Rattus norvegicus: one gene and its partners. The protein of the gene in region 3 interacts with the protein of the main gene of each other region in a biochemical or structural test. Links are inferred from orthologs where the notes say so. Each region holds a gene or a part of one and is shown on either strand. Other genes may lie near its edges.

What was found.
Region 1: the proteins of Tal1 (region 3) and Sin3a form a complex in vitro, tested with the Homo sapiens proteins (2 studies listed by BioGRID). The link is inferred for Rattus norvegicus from reciprocal best matches to the Homo sapiens genes TAL1 and SIN3A.
Region 2: the proteins of Tal1 (region 3) and Lmo2 form a complex in vitro, tested with the Homo sapiens proteins (2 studies listed by BioGRID). The link is inferred for Rattus norvegicus from reciprocal best matches to the Homo sapiens genes TAL1 and LMO2.

What each region holds. Positions count from the first base shown.
Region 1 is NC_086026.1:66,380,512-66,384,611, reverse strand, and holds the start of Sin3a (paired amphipathic helix protein Sin3a), read right to left. Parts: upstream 2,830-4,100; 5' UTR 2,693-2,829; intron 2,605-2,692; exon of another isoform or gene 2,346-2,604; intron 583-2,345; exon of another isoform or gene 477-582; intron 1-476. UniProt on the Homo sapiens protein: Acts as a transcriptional repressor. Corepressor for REST. Interacts with MXI1 to repress MYC responsive genes and antagonize MYC oncogenic activities. Also interacts with MXD1-MAX heterodimers to repress transcription by tethering SIN3A to DNA.
Region 2 is NC_086021.1:110,824,442-110,828,013, forward strand, and holds part of Lmo2 (rhombotin-2), read left to right. Parts: intron 1-2,839; coding exon 2,840-3,055; intron 3,056-3,572. UniProt on the Homo sapiens protein: Acts with TAL1/SCL to regulate red blood cell development. Also acts with LDB1 to maintain erythroid precursors in an immature state.
Region 3 is NC_086023.1:133,823,002-133,827,299, forward strand, and holds the start of Tal1 (T-cell acute lymphocytic leukemia protein 1), read left to right. Parts: upstream 1-1,462; 5' UTR 1,463-1,733; exon of another isoform or gene 1,734-3,200; coding exon of another isoform or gene 3,201-3,217; intron 3,218-3,311; 5' UTR 3,312-3,460; intron 3,461-4,298. UniProt on the Homo sapiens protein: Implicated in the genesis of hemopoietic malignancies. It may play an important role in hemopoietic differentiation. Serves as a positive regulator of erythroid differentiation.

The DNA of each region.
Region 1 (4,100 bases), on a different chromosome or scaffold from region 3:
ATATTGGCTGCACTGTCAAGATGGCTGTGCTTTGCCAGGAATCTAATTAATACCGATCTCAAGTCTTAAAAAAAAGAAGAAAAAAAAACTTCTTTATGCGAACTATTAAGGCCTGAATTTAAAAGTATTAACATTTTTCAAAGCTATATTTCTGTTTTTTTCACACGTGTATAGATATATGGGTATGCACCTGTGTCTGGGTGCCTAGGGGCCAGAGGTGTCAGTACTTGGAGCTCCAGATACATGTTGACATGGGTGCTAAAAACTGAACTCAGGTTCTCTTAGATACTAGTAAGTAAAAATAAACATATAGTACTGATGGATGGAAATGTAAAAATAGAAAAAACAAAAACAAAAGCAAACAAATATAACTAGGTTCTTGAATTTTTAAAGCCTAGGACTTGTGACTCCAGCACACAATCTAGAATACACATTCTATAAGAGTACGAATTATGCCCAGCAGTGGCGGCACATGCCTTTAATCCCAGCGTTTGGGGGGCAGACAGATCTCTTGAATTTGAGTCCAGCCTGGTCTAGAGGGTGAGCTCCAGGACACCCAGGGCTACAGTTAAACTCTTGTTTCTAAAAACAAAACAAGAAAAACAAAAAAGATATGAATTAGGTCATCTGTATTTCCCAGACTGTGCTTCAAATGGTAGAATTAACTGAGGTTAGGCAAACTTTCCTCAAAGGCTAAGCATTCTCTACTACCGTTTTCAATGTGCTACATCTGTAAGACACCCAAGTTCTTATCTTTTGGCCTCCACCTCAATTCTGTTACTACTGCTGTTGTCACTTTTTTAGCTGAAAAGTGAATATTTAACCTCTTCATTATGTACGGCACAGGGCATGGTTTTCAGCCTCTACTGAACAAAGGACAAATCCAGAATTTAGCTTCAGAAATTACATATAAACGATGGGGTTAGAGACGGCTCAATACAGACTGCAGACTGCTCGTGCAAAAGGACCTAAGTTGGGTTCCCAGAACCCATGTCGGGTGGCTCATAACCACCTGTTAACTCCACCTACAGGGGATCTAACATCCTATTCTGGCCTTACACACGCACGCACACTTTAATATAAATCTTTTTTAAAAGTGGTTTATACATACTCATTCAGACATCAATACATAAATTAAGGATTCAGTGTTTACTTTTCATAAAAAGTTCTCTAAATAAGATCAGCTAACACCAACCCACCTAATAAGGTTACCTGTGCAATAAATCCACAATGGCCAAAGTAACACAGGTTGGGAGGTCATGCTACACATAGGTTTCATAAGGTTCAACCTACTTAGCATCTAAAAAGATCTTTAAGGACTAACAATTACATAAAACTAAAAGAGAACACAAAATTTTAAGTTACCTTTGTGCAGCTAAGCTTATATAACAAAACCTTCTGTAGGTTAAAAAAAAATCAAGAAATCAAAGTATTTTACTTAAATTAAAAAGAAAAATTCTGACTAGAGGAAAAAAAATCAGCCCTGGGGTATAACCTAGTGGTGAAGCAATACTTATGTGCCTTAAATAAACTCCGACACACACAATCATCTTCAAATATCATCTCTGCCAAAGACCAGTTTTAAGATTAAGAAGTAAATTCAATCCTTTCTCTAGAAATACAGTCTCAGCTTTATAAGGAGCTGGAACGGCAAACTGAGTTTAAAGTCCTGAGGTACCAAAAATGGTAGCAAATTTTAGCTATCTACCCATGGGTGCACAGCTTAGCTCTGTTAAGGCACAGTAGCTGAACACCAAGGGAACTCTAGGAAAGGTTGGCGCCCTCCAGAATCTCAGTCTCTGAGTACGCTGCCCCTCCCCCACCGGCCACTGGCGGGGAAGCATGGGCCCAGCACCAGCCGCACCCCACCGCAGACACTCCAGAGAGGACGCTGAGTTTCTCGTCCCAATAATTACAACTAAGAGGAGCAGCTGACCACGCTTCTACTCTCCATAGCTTTTAAGGCGCCATTCACGATGCGTGAAGCAAAGTAGAGACTACAGCTCCGGGCCACGATGCCCCAAGCAGAATGGATGGAGAAGCCACAGCAGAAAGTCGGGACACCTCCACCGCTCCCAGTCTACAAGCGGCCTTCCCACCTACAGGGACGCAGGGCGGGGCAGACACGGAACCCTGACCCCTGCCAGACGCTACAGCGGGCTTTCCCCAGCTATGCTTCACAGCTAAGGAGGCGGAAATCCCGGCGGGGGCGGGGCGGGAGGGGCGTGGCATCACAGCCCCGGACGCGCCTTCCGGCCAACCGGATCCCGCTAAGGCGGGGGAACACAGGCTTCACGCCCCCTCGCCGCCGCGCCCTAAAAGCCACACGCCGGGACCCTCTTCTCGTCCCGCACACCCCGCGGACCCAAAGCAGTACAACCCGTGTCCCCGCCCACAAGGGGAGAAGGGGCGGGGCCACGGCCGCGGGCCTTTAGTCCCAGCCCGCCCCGCCCCTTTCTCCACCACCGCACGCGCGCCGGCCCCGCCTCTGATCGGCGGGACTAGGGCCCGCCCCTCCGTGCGCACCGGGACTACGCTCTCCTCCCCCTCCCGCACTGAGTGCGGCTCCGCTCCGCCCCCCACAGCCACGCACGGGAAGCCGAGGTCAGCCCCCCCGAAAAACACACGCCCTCCAGTCCCGGGTTACCCGCCACCCAGCTGCTGGGCAGACCGCGACGCGGCGTGCTCTCACCGCAAAAGCTCCAGCCACTCAGCCTGCGCGTCGCTCCCGGCGTGAGCCTCGCACCCAGCACGGAGGCCCCGGAACGGCGCGGGCACAGGCCCGCAAGAGCGGACTGGCAACCTCCTTTGCGCCTACGAAGCGGTCACAGGCCTGGGTGTCCAGACTGGGAAGGAGGGAGGGAGGGAGGGAAACTCTAAGGGGGGAAGGGGAGGGGGGAAGATGGAGAAACCGTCTCTGCCGCCTCTACCGCCGCGGCCGCTTCTCTGTTACCCGGGAAATCCCGCCCACTCTCCCGGCCCGCCCCGCCGAGGGAAGGCTTAACCTCGCTCCGCCACGGGATATATTACCCATCCGTCAATGGTTTAGCCAATCACCGTGCCGCAAAGGCCTATTCCCGCCCTCTTCCCTCGCTGGGAGGGGAGAGCAAGCCGCTCACCTTCTCCACGCCCCTATTGGCGGGGAGAGTCCCTAACTCAACCCCGCCTATTGGAGACTGATTGCCGAATCCCTCCTCCAGGCTCCAATACTATTGGAGGAAGAAGGGTACCTCGTCACATCTCATTGGAGAGTCTCACATATCCCTCCCCATACCGCCCCAGCCACAGGCCTAACAAATCGGCTCCCGCCTCCGCCGGTTCCCGCATTGGAAGACTACCTTTGCTTCTCTCATAGCCCTAGGAAGGTAAGTAACCAATGTGGGGTAAAAATGTCCTTAAGTGAGGCCGACTCCACCCACTACACTGCTGGGCCAGGCTCCGCCCCCAAAGATCTGATTGGACTATCTTGGCGCCGGTAGGAGCCGCCATTGGACACGGCGCCGGTCCAGGAAGGAGACCATTCCGCCCTGCGCGAGGATGCTGAACCTTAGCAGTCCTTTTGTGGAATGTTTACACTGGAGACTGAAGCTCAGCGTTCCAAGGCCGGGACCGGAGATGGCGCGCAGCGCAGCGGTCGAAACCGGAGGCTTTGAGATTTGAAAAGGAAAAGGCAGTAGTATTACCACCATTGGAGGATTAACCAAAACAATGACAGAAAGCCTCGTCCTTCCTACCCACTTATTTTTACACTTTCACGGTCTTCTAAACACAGCCATCTGGAGCACTCAGCAGCTACTTTCAGCAAGCCGACTCCAAAATTAATGTCTGGAGCTCTAATCTGATACAAAAAACCCAGATATTACTAGCCAGTCGCCAGAGCCGGCTGCATACTGTGACACTGGGACAACCAGAATCCGCAGCCCTCAGGGGGCGGAGATAACCCAGCGGAGGCCTTTAAATGTCACCGCCTGGGCAAGCCTCCGGAAGGCGGAGCATGAGAGAAAAAAAAATGTATTCCAGGTCGGCCGGGTAGATCCAGGGACATTTTAAACTGGAGGAAGGGATGCAGAAAAGCTCACACAGACCACTGTATAAATAAA
Region 2 (3,572 bases), on a different chromosome or scaffold from region 3:
CCTTTTCAAAGTTGGCTGGTAATAACATCAGCCATCTAGGCATCAAACATGATGGAAGACCTGTGGGTGATTCTGAAAGCCCAATGTAAAACCTTGAGCTATGCAAAGGGAAGAGATTTGATTCTGAACTGGTGCACTTGAACAGGCCAAGGATCTTGGTTAACTTTCAGATATGAGAATATGAGGCTGGAAGCCCTTATGTATACCCTATAGAAAAAAAAAGACTCTAGTGCCCCCCCCCATACACACACCAACAGGGATTCTCTTTCTTGCCCTGGCTGTCCTGGAACTCACTCTGTAACCCAGGCTGGCCTCAGACTCAGAGATCTGCCTGCCTCTGCCTCAAGAATGCTGGGATTTAAAGATGTGTGCCTCCACTGCCCGGCAACCCGGCAACTTCTAGTGTATTATTTAAACTATTTAAGGTCTTAGCCCACGTCACCCGTAACTCTATATACATGAGAGGCTGAGGCAGAAGAACTGTTCCAGACCAGCCTGGGCCTAGTGAGATCTTGTCTTAAAATTTAAAGGGACAGAAAGGACGTGTGAGCTGCCTCAGCTGCTAATGGTGCTTGCCCTGTGTCTGATGACCTGAGTTTGATCCCTAGAACCCACTTGGTGGAGAGAGAACCGGCAGTTCAGGGGCTAAGAGCATCTCCTACTCTTATAGGAGACCCAAGTTGGATGCTTAGCACCCATATTGGGTGGCTCACAACCCTCTGTGACTCCATTGCCAGGGTATCTGATGCCTATGGCCTTCTGGGGCACCTGCCCTTGTGTATATGTACCCACACACATACATACAATTAAAAATAAAATTAAATCCTTAAGAACAATGCAAACAAAAAGAATGGAGAAAGGAATCACAGTGAAGATCACTTACCTAAAGTGACGAGGGACCCGGGTTTGATCGTCAACACCGAAACAACAAACGACACCTAACACTTGACTTGATCATTGTTTTTCTCAAAGAAACTGAGCTTCGAACTTCCTGGTTCTTAAAGAAGGTAATCTTATATTTTGTGCTATAATGGTGGATTTGGCATTAGTATTTAGCTACATATTTACAACGGATGGGTCACCTGAAGATGCTGGAGTGCCCTGTGCACAGCCATTCCCCGAGTCTCACTGTCCCCAACTGTAATGCTGCTGAGCCTCATGGGCACAGGCCAATTGGGCCACAAGGTCACTTGGGAAATGTGCCAAATAAAGATCAGAGGCACAGACGTGTCGCCCAGGGTACCCAAGAGGAAACGCCATCGGACATTCCATCAAAGGAATGAAAGCTAATTTTAATTTGAAAAAAAAAAACCACTAGATTTTTTTTAAAAGTAGGTTTTATTTGAATAATGTTCCAGGAGCACATTAATTATTACAAGTCAACAAGCATTAAGTGTCTCTGTCTCCTATTTGCTATCACAATCCTTTCTCCCGTGCCATTTTCCCTCAGAAAAGTTATTTCTTCTTACATGTAAAACAAAAGTATTCAGGTTCTAGGAAGGCAGAGCAAGCAGAGGGCCCTATGTATGTGTATCTTTAAAATAGTTTTTACTGTTCGTGTGTGTGTGTGTGTGTGTGTGTGTGTGTGTGTGTGAGCACATGCACTTGCTCTCGCTTGCTTGTGTGTATATCTATATGTATGGTTATATATAGAACAACCTGCTGGCGCTTTCTTTCCACCGTGTGTGTCCTGAGGACCACATCAGATCATCAGGCTTGGCGACAAGCACTCTAACCTCATAAGCAGCTTGTGATTCCCAGCATACAACTTCTTAAATCCAAGAACACATCCCTCAGAATCACTGTGAGAACAGAGTGACTTTGGTATCAGTTTAATCGCTTTCCACTCCTTTAGGTCCATCGTGTGGTCCCCTCTTCCACTCTCTTTACTAATTTAATTTTATTCACACTACTTTTGCTACCCTGAAAAAGTATGAAGAAAGAAAAAACAACTATGTCTGCTATCTGTTAAGAATCACACCGTAACCTAGATTTCCTCCCAAAGATTCGTTCGGATCTAGTATTCTTCGAGACGGTGTCTAGTGTAGCCCTGAGCCTCTGGATGATGCTGATGAAATCCTGCTCCTCCAGGTTCCGCCTCAGGATGCGCTGGGATTATGTCCCCACTTTCCATGGCACTGGAGAGGTGACCGTTGGGCCTCTGATAGGTTAGGCCATCCCTCTACCTATGAAGCTCATCTCTAGCCAAAGATTCATGCAGAATGTAAGAAAGAATGCAAAAAACTTCAGTTGGAATAATTAGATATGGATGGAACTTTCGGTTTTGGAAAGAGACAGCAACCTGATGTAATCTCGGTGGCTTTCTTCTTCTTTCTCTTCCTTTGATTCTGTGCAATGGGAAGGGCTTCAGTAGGGTGAATCCAACAGATTATCTGTAGGTTTTAGCACACTGGGTCATCAGATGCTTTGACTATGAGCAGCTCCTTTGGTCCCAAAGTATATTCTTAGGATTTGGCAGTTCCAAAGAAGAAAGGGAGGGAGGGCTGGGAAGACGGAGCAGAGCAGGAAGGGAAGGTGGAAGAAGCAGACAGGATCAGAGGTGCCGACGAGGCAAGGGACCAACACTATCTGCAGGGCCTTGGACACCTCCTGGTATTCTGTCTTCAATTTTTCAGATGCTAAGATCTCTCTATCCCATTCCCATTTTATCCAAGGTTGCCTGTGTCTGTGCAGTCTGAGTTAGGGAGTCTTTTATCCTTATTTCCTGGAAGGAAATGTAGTGAGGTTCCCCACAGAACCCTGAGCATGGAGCAATTCCTGAGACCTTGTGCTTGTCTCCCTTTGGTGAGCTTTTCCTAATGCTTGGCCCCCTCCCCAGGGAACCCGTGGATGAGGTGCTGCAGATCCCCCCATCCCTGCTGACATGTGGTGGCTGCCAGCAGAACATAGGGGACCGCTACTTCCTGAAAGCCATCGACCAGTACTGGCACGAGGATTGCCTCAGCTGTGACCTCTGTGGGTGTCGGCTGGGAGAGGTGGGCCGGCGCCTCTACTACAAGCTGGGACGGAAGCTGTGCAGGCGAGACTATCTCAGGTAAATCCCTCACACTTCTGGGCACATCTGGGTTTGGACACATAGTCTCTGGCTCCCGCTTTGGCTCTGAGGTGTCTGCCTAAGGAGGCTAGGCTGTGGAGGCTGAACCTCCACTGCCTCTTCAGAGAAGCCGTGAGCTCTTCCTTTGCTGTGGCCATGTTTGCAGAGACACATCCCTGCATGGTAAATCACTGAGGTTTTTAAAGGTAAGAGAAGAATAAACACGGAATTCAGAATAAGGACAAAATTCCGTGGGGGCAGGATAGGGTTTGGAGAAGTATACGTAGGGAAATATCAGGGGAACTAAGGGAAGAGAGGGAATTCGCTTATAAGTTTGGGAGTGGGTTCTCATTTGATACTCAATGAACGTATGCATATATGTAGACATTCCTTTGCATGACTCCAATATTGTTGATGAGAACTTTTAAAATAGCATTCTGTTCTTGAGCCCTGAGCACTGAGTTTCCTAGCAGGAGGCTAGCATTCAGCAGTTACAAAGGTGAAGACACTGGAGTCG
Region 3 (4,298 bases):
GGCTGTTTCATAGGTTCTGCTTTCATCCTGAAACCGAGCTGAAGAGACATTTTCATCTATTGACATCTGTTCTGTCCCTCCTTAGAGCTTCTTATCTTTGAGCAATTCCAGTTTTAGAGCAGTCAGGGGCCAACACTGTTGAGGGTCAGCGAGGAGCTGGGTGGGATATGGGAATAAGAGGAACAGACACTGGTTTTGGAGAAGACAGGAGAAAGAATGAAGAAGGGGAGGTTGGAAATGGTTCGGGAGACACGGTGGTCTTAAGAGGCTAGACAACGGCCAAAGCCGCTGAAGGAGCATCTGGAAGGCGGAGATCCGAGTAGAGTTGTTTGTAGGGAGCCGGAATCCCGAGAGGCCAGGGGTGGGGAATGGGCTGGACCCGCTGGGTCCCAGCGAACGCGCTCAACCTACTCCTCTGCGAATTTCTGGGCCAGCCCAGCGCTGCAACCAGTCCCCGCTCCCTCCGGAGAAATTGCCAAATTAAAATGAATCATTTGGCCCATAATGGCCGAGGCGCTTATCGCGGACGGGCGGGCCCGCAGCGGCGCCTTATCTCCGCGGCGCACACGGCCGGAGCTAACGAGGCCGCGGGCGGGAGCGGGATTAGAGCGCGCGGCGATGCGCAGGCGGGGGCTGCCCAACATGGCCACGCGCGCCCCCAGGGCGTAAAACGTGAGCATCCCGGCCTTCTTCCCAGGGACAGGCGACAGCCGTCTCCCGTGGAATTGCCCGTCCGTTTCCTCCGTCCTTCCCCAAGCGCGCCACAGCCTCGGCTCCCTCTCCTCGGTTTCTTCCCGGGGGGCACTTTCCACGACGCCCCTCCGCTGCCCCTCCCGCCGGGGAGACTCTCTTCCTTCCTTCCCCTTTTCCCTTTGCGCAATAGACAGAAAATCGCAAGGCGCTGGCGGCTTCCATTGCTTCTGGGCGGTGTGTGCGGGCGGCCGGGTTGAGAGTGCTTGCGTGAGCGGCAGGCTGCGGTGGATACTCCCCGCGCGGGTTTTTAGCGATAGGTCGTGTGCGGGCGTGTGAAACCCTGCGCTGTTTGGGTGTGGAGATTCCGAGCCCTCTGCGTTTTATTCGTTGTATGTAAATTGCCCCGTTTCTTTTCTCTACGAGGTCGGTCTGGTGTGTCGCGGTGTGTGGCCTTGGACAAAGTGTTAGGCTGGCTTCGTAATGTCCGGCGGGTGCGACCCCCACCCAGTGAGGTTGTGTGTCTGTGAGCCTTTGCGTGTGACTGATGTTACAGTGTCATGTTGGACAGTATGCCGGTCTGCCTACGCCGGCTTGTGGGACAGAGCTGGCGTGTGTTCATCTGCTTCCCTCCTCTGGGGCTGGACCATGTGTGGTCCTGTCCACCAAGAGTCCTGTGCCTGTGTGCCTGTGTCCTTTAGAGGTGCGTTTGCAAATCGCTGGGGGCGGGAGTGGGGGGAGGGCGAGCGAGAGATCGCGGCGCTGGTGGGGGCGTCCACATGGGGGCGGGGAGCGGGATTTCACATTTTATTCCAAATTATGATGTATTCGGGAGCCAGTGTTGGCTCGGATGGATGGACAGAGCCGAGTAGGCGGCAGCTCTGTCCAGAGGCCGTCTGTGCCTTGCTGTTGCGGGGTCCCCTGATGTGTGCGTGGGGGCTTCTTCTAATCTGGAAGATGAACCGCGCTCGCTGAGGCCAGCGTCTTCCCGCCCGCAGCGCCGGGCCTGGATTCGCGCTGCGATCAGGTTTCGCCTATTTCTGGTCAGTTTCGCGGGTGCGTCCGCGGCGGTTGGGAAAGAGGCCGGGAAGGACAATGGGCACACTTTCCAGGTCTGGTGCCAAGGGTGGGGGTCCTCCGGATCATCCTGGGAGACATTTTTTTCAGTCCCTCCCCCATCCCGGTCGGGTCCAAACCCCCTACCGGGGTTAGCTGCCCTAGGAGTCGGCTGACGTTGGAAGGGCCCGTCAGGGCCACCTTAGCAGGACAAGAAAGGATCGCGTTTTTCTCTTTACTGCGATTGTTAATACCTTCGTCATCAACACCATTAACACCCGCTTTTAATTAAAACAGTCGAACAAAAAGCTCACCAGCCCGTCCTTTAGCGTCTTTGGAGGAAGAACAAAGCAGTCCTGTCTTAACGCCCCTCCCTAGCTGTTTTTCTTTTCTTTTTTTCCTTCCCTAACCTGCCAGGTTTGGGGTAGGGAAAGAAAATGAAGAGGTAGTGGGAATAGAGATTCACTTCATAAAACAAACATTAACCTCAGGTAACACCGGGGACGAGTGGACTCTCCGTGTCTCCCCCTCCCCTCCTTCTCTGGGTTAGAAAGGAGAAAGAAAACCTCCCGCACTGAATTGAAACCCAGGGAGGTGGCAGTTCTGAGCTTCCGCCAAAGCCGCAGCAGAGAGAAGGAAGCCTTCGCAATTAACCCAAGACTTCGATGTGCCATTGGATGGTGGACATCTCAGGCAAAACAATTTAAAAAAAAAAAAAGGAGGCGAAAAAATAAAAGCAAACGAAATCCAGCTACCACTCTCTTGGAAGCGGCGTCGGGTCTGCTTTGACCCATCTTCCCCCTTGCTTTGTTCATCTCTGCAAAACACCTTCTGCTAGTCAGAACCCCGAAAAATCGAAACTCTTTTTGCAAAGGTGGTGGAGGAAAAGGTGTAGAGATGCCCTCTTTTATATCTCTTCCTCCATTAGAAAGAAAACAAGGGACCCAACTAAAACAGATATAGCCCTCTCCCTTTCATCCCTGCAGGGAACTAGGACCTTTGGAACCGGATTCTGCCTTCGTTCTGGGCAGGAACTTGATAGATGGGGTCACGAAGAGAATAGGATGAGGGTTCCCTGGTTCTGATCCAGCAACCAAGGCCTGAAGACTCTTTTTTTTTTTTTCTTTTCTTTTCTCCCCATCCCGTCCTCTCCATCCGTATCAAATAGGGAATTACACTTTCGTGCTTTGTCGGCAATCGGAGCAACCCGCATAGAAATGTCCATGCTTGGAAAACAAATTCGGCCATACTGAATTAGACAGATCCGTTAGAGGGTTCGAACGTGTTCTGGGCAGCCTGCCGGGAGAGGCTGTTGTTGTTGGACTAAGTAGTTATTCCTGATTGGTCAGGTGTAGGGTTCATTTTTTTTTTTTTTTAAATCGGGATGTGTTTGGGGGAGGGGGGCTCCAAACACCTGCAAGTTGGAGGCGGAAGGCCGTTTGCTATTCTTTGGGATGGCGGGGCACACGAGGTAATTCCCAGCCATTGACCCCCCATTTTCTCTCTCGCCCTCCCTCTTTCTCTCCACCCCCATCTTTCCTGGAAACTCGCTTTGGGCGCGGCAGACCGCGTAGGACCTCACGGCAAGCTAAGTAACTGCTGGTCTCTCAGCGAGAGCCTGGAAAACACAGCTCCGGGGTCCTACCTCGACCCCTCTCCAGCGGAGGAGTGGAGGTCCTAACCAGCCGGGTCGGTCTCTCTAAATATGCCCCAGGTTAGTTGCGGCCTGGAGTCCTGGGGCGGGGTGGGGTGAGTTTGGGAGGGGGCAGTGTCTGTGGAAATAACACTATTCTGGGTTGTGGACTGGGGTCGGGGAGGCTCAGAACTGAGAAGATTGTCAGGGGTGGGGGTGGGGGAACCAACTTAGGCCAAGAACCCGCTATCTGACTGCCACTAAACTGCCTCAGGCCTCCAGCAGGGCCCTTTCCTTTTTCCGGCCTTGGATAAAACCAGCTGGTTGGATTATGTCCTCCAGGCCGCTCCCATGGTCCCGGTTCCGAGCACATTTCACAAGGCCGGTAACTTTATTGTGGCTATATCCGGGTGGCGTGGGGGCTGCGCTTGGAGCTCCAGACAGGAAAAATGGCCAAGACCATCCCGCTCAGGCCTAAGGCCTTAGCTGTGCTGGACCGCATCTCCACTGCTGTGGTGGCAAAGATAGTGCGTTGCTTACTGGCGGATTAGGTTTTGGTGCAGGCTTTGTGTTTCTCCACCGTGTCTTGCGCATATGAGTGTGGAGGGATGGGAGGCCAGCCAAGTCTAAGGCCGACGCTATTTCTTTTAAAAATGAGTAGATTTAAAAAAAAATCTCCGAGCTATGATTTGGGGTATTAGGAGTTGCTGGAGATGATGCCGCCCAGAAAGGAGCTTTCTGATCCCGTTGTTCAGGTGAATATTGTCACCTGCTGGCATTGGGGCAACTGGAAGGTGAAGATGAGGTTGAGGCTGCAACCTGGGTCTCTGCAGCACAAAGAGCTGTGATGGTCGAGTGCTCCAGTCTAGCCCGAGCCCCCTCCCCTTTCCATTCTCCCTTAATAAAAACAATTGCATAA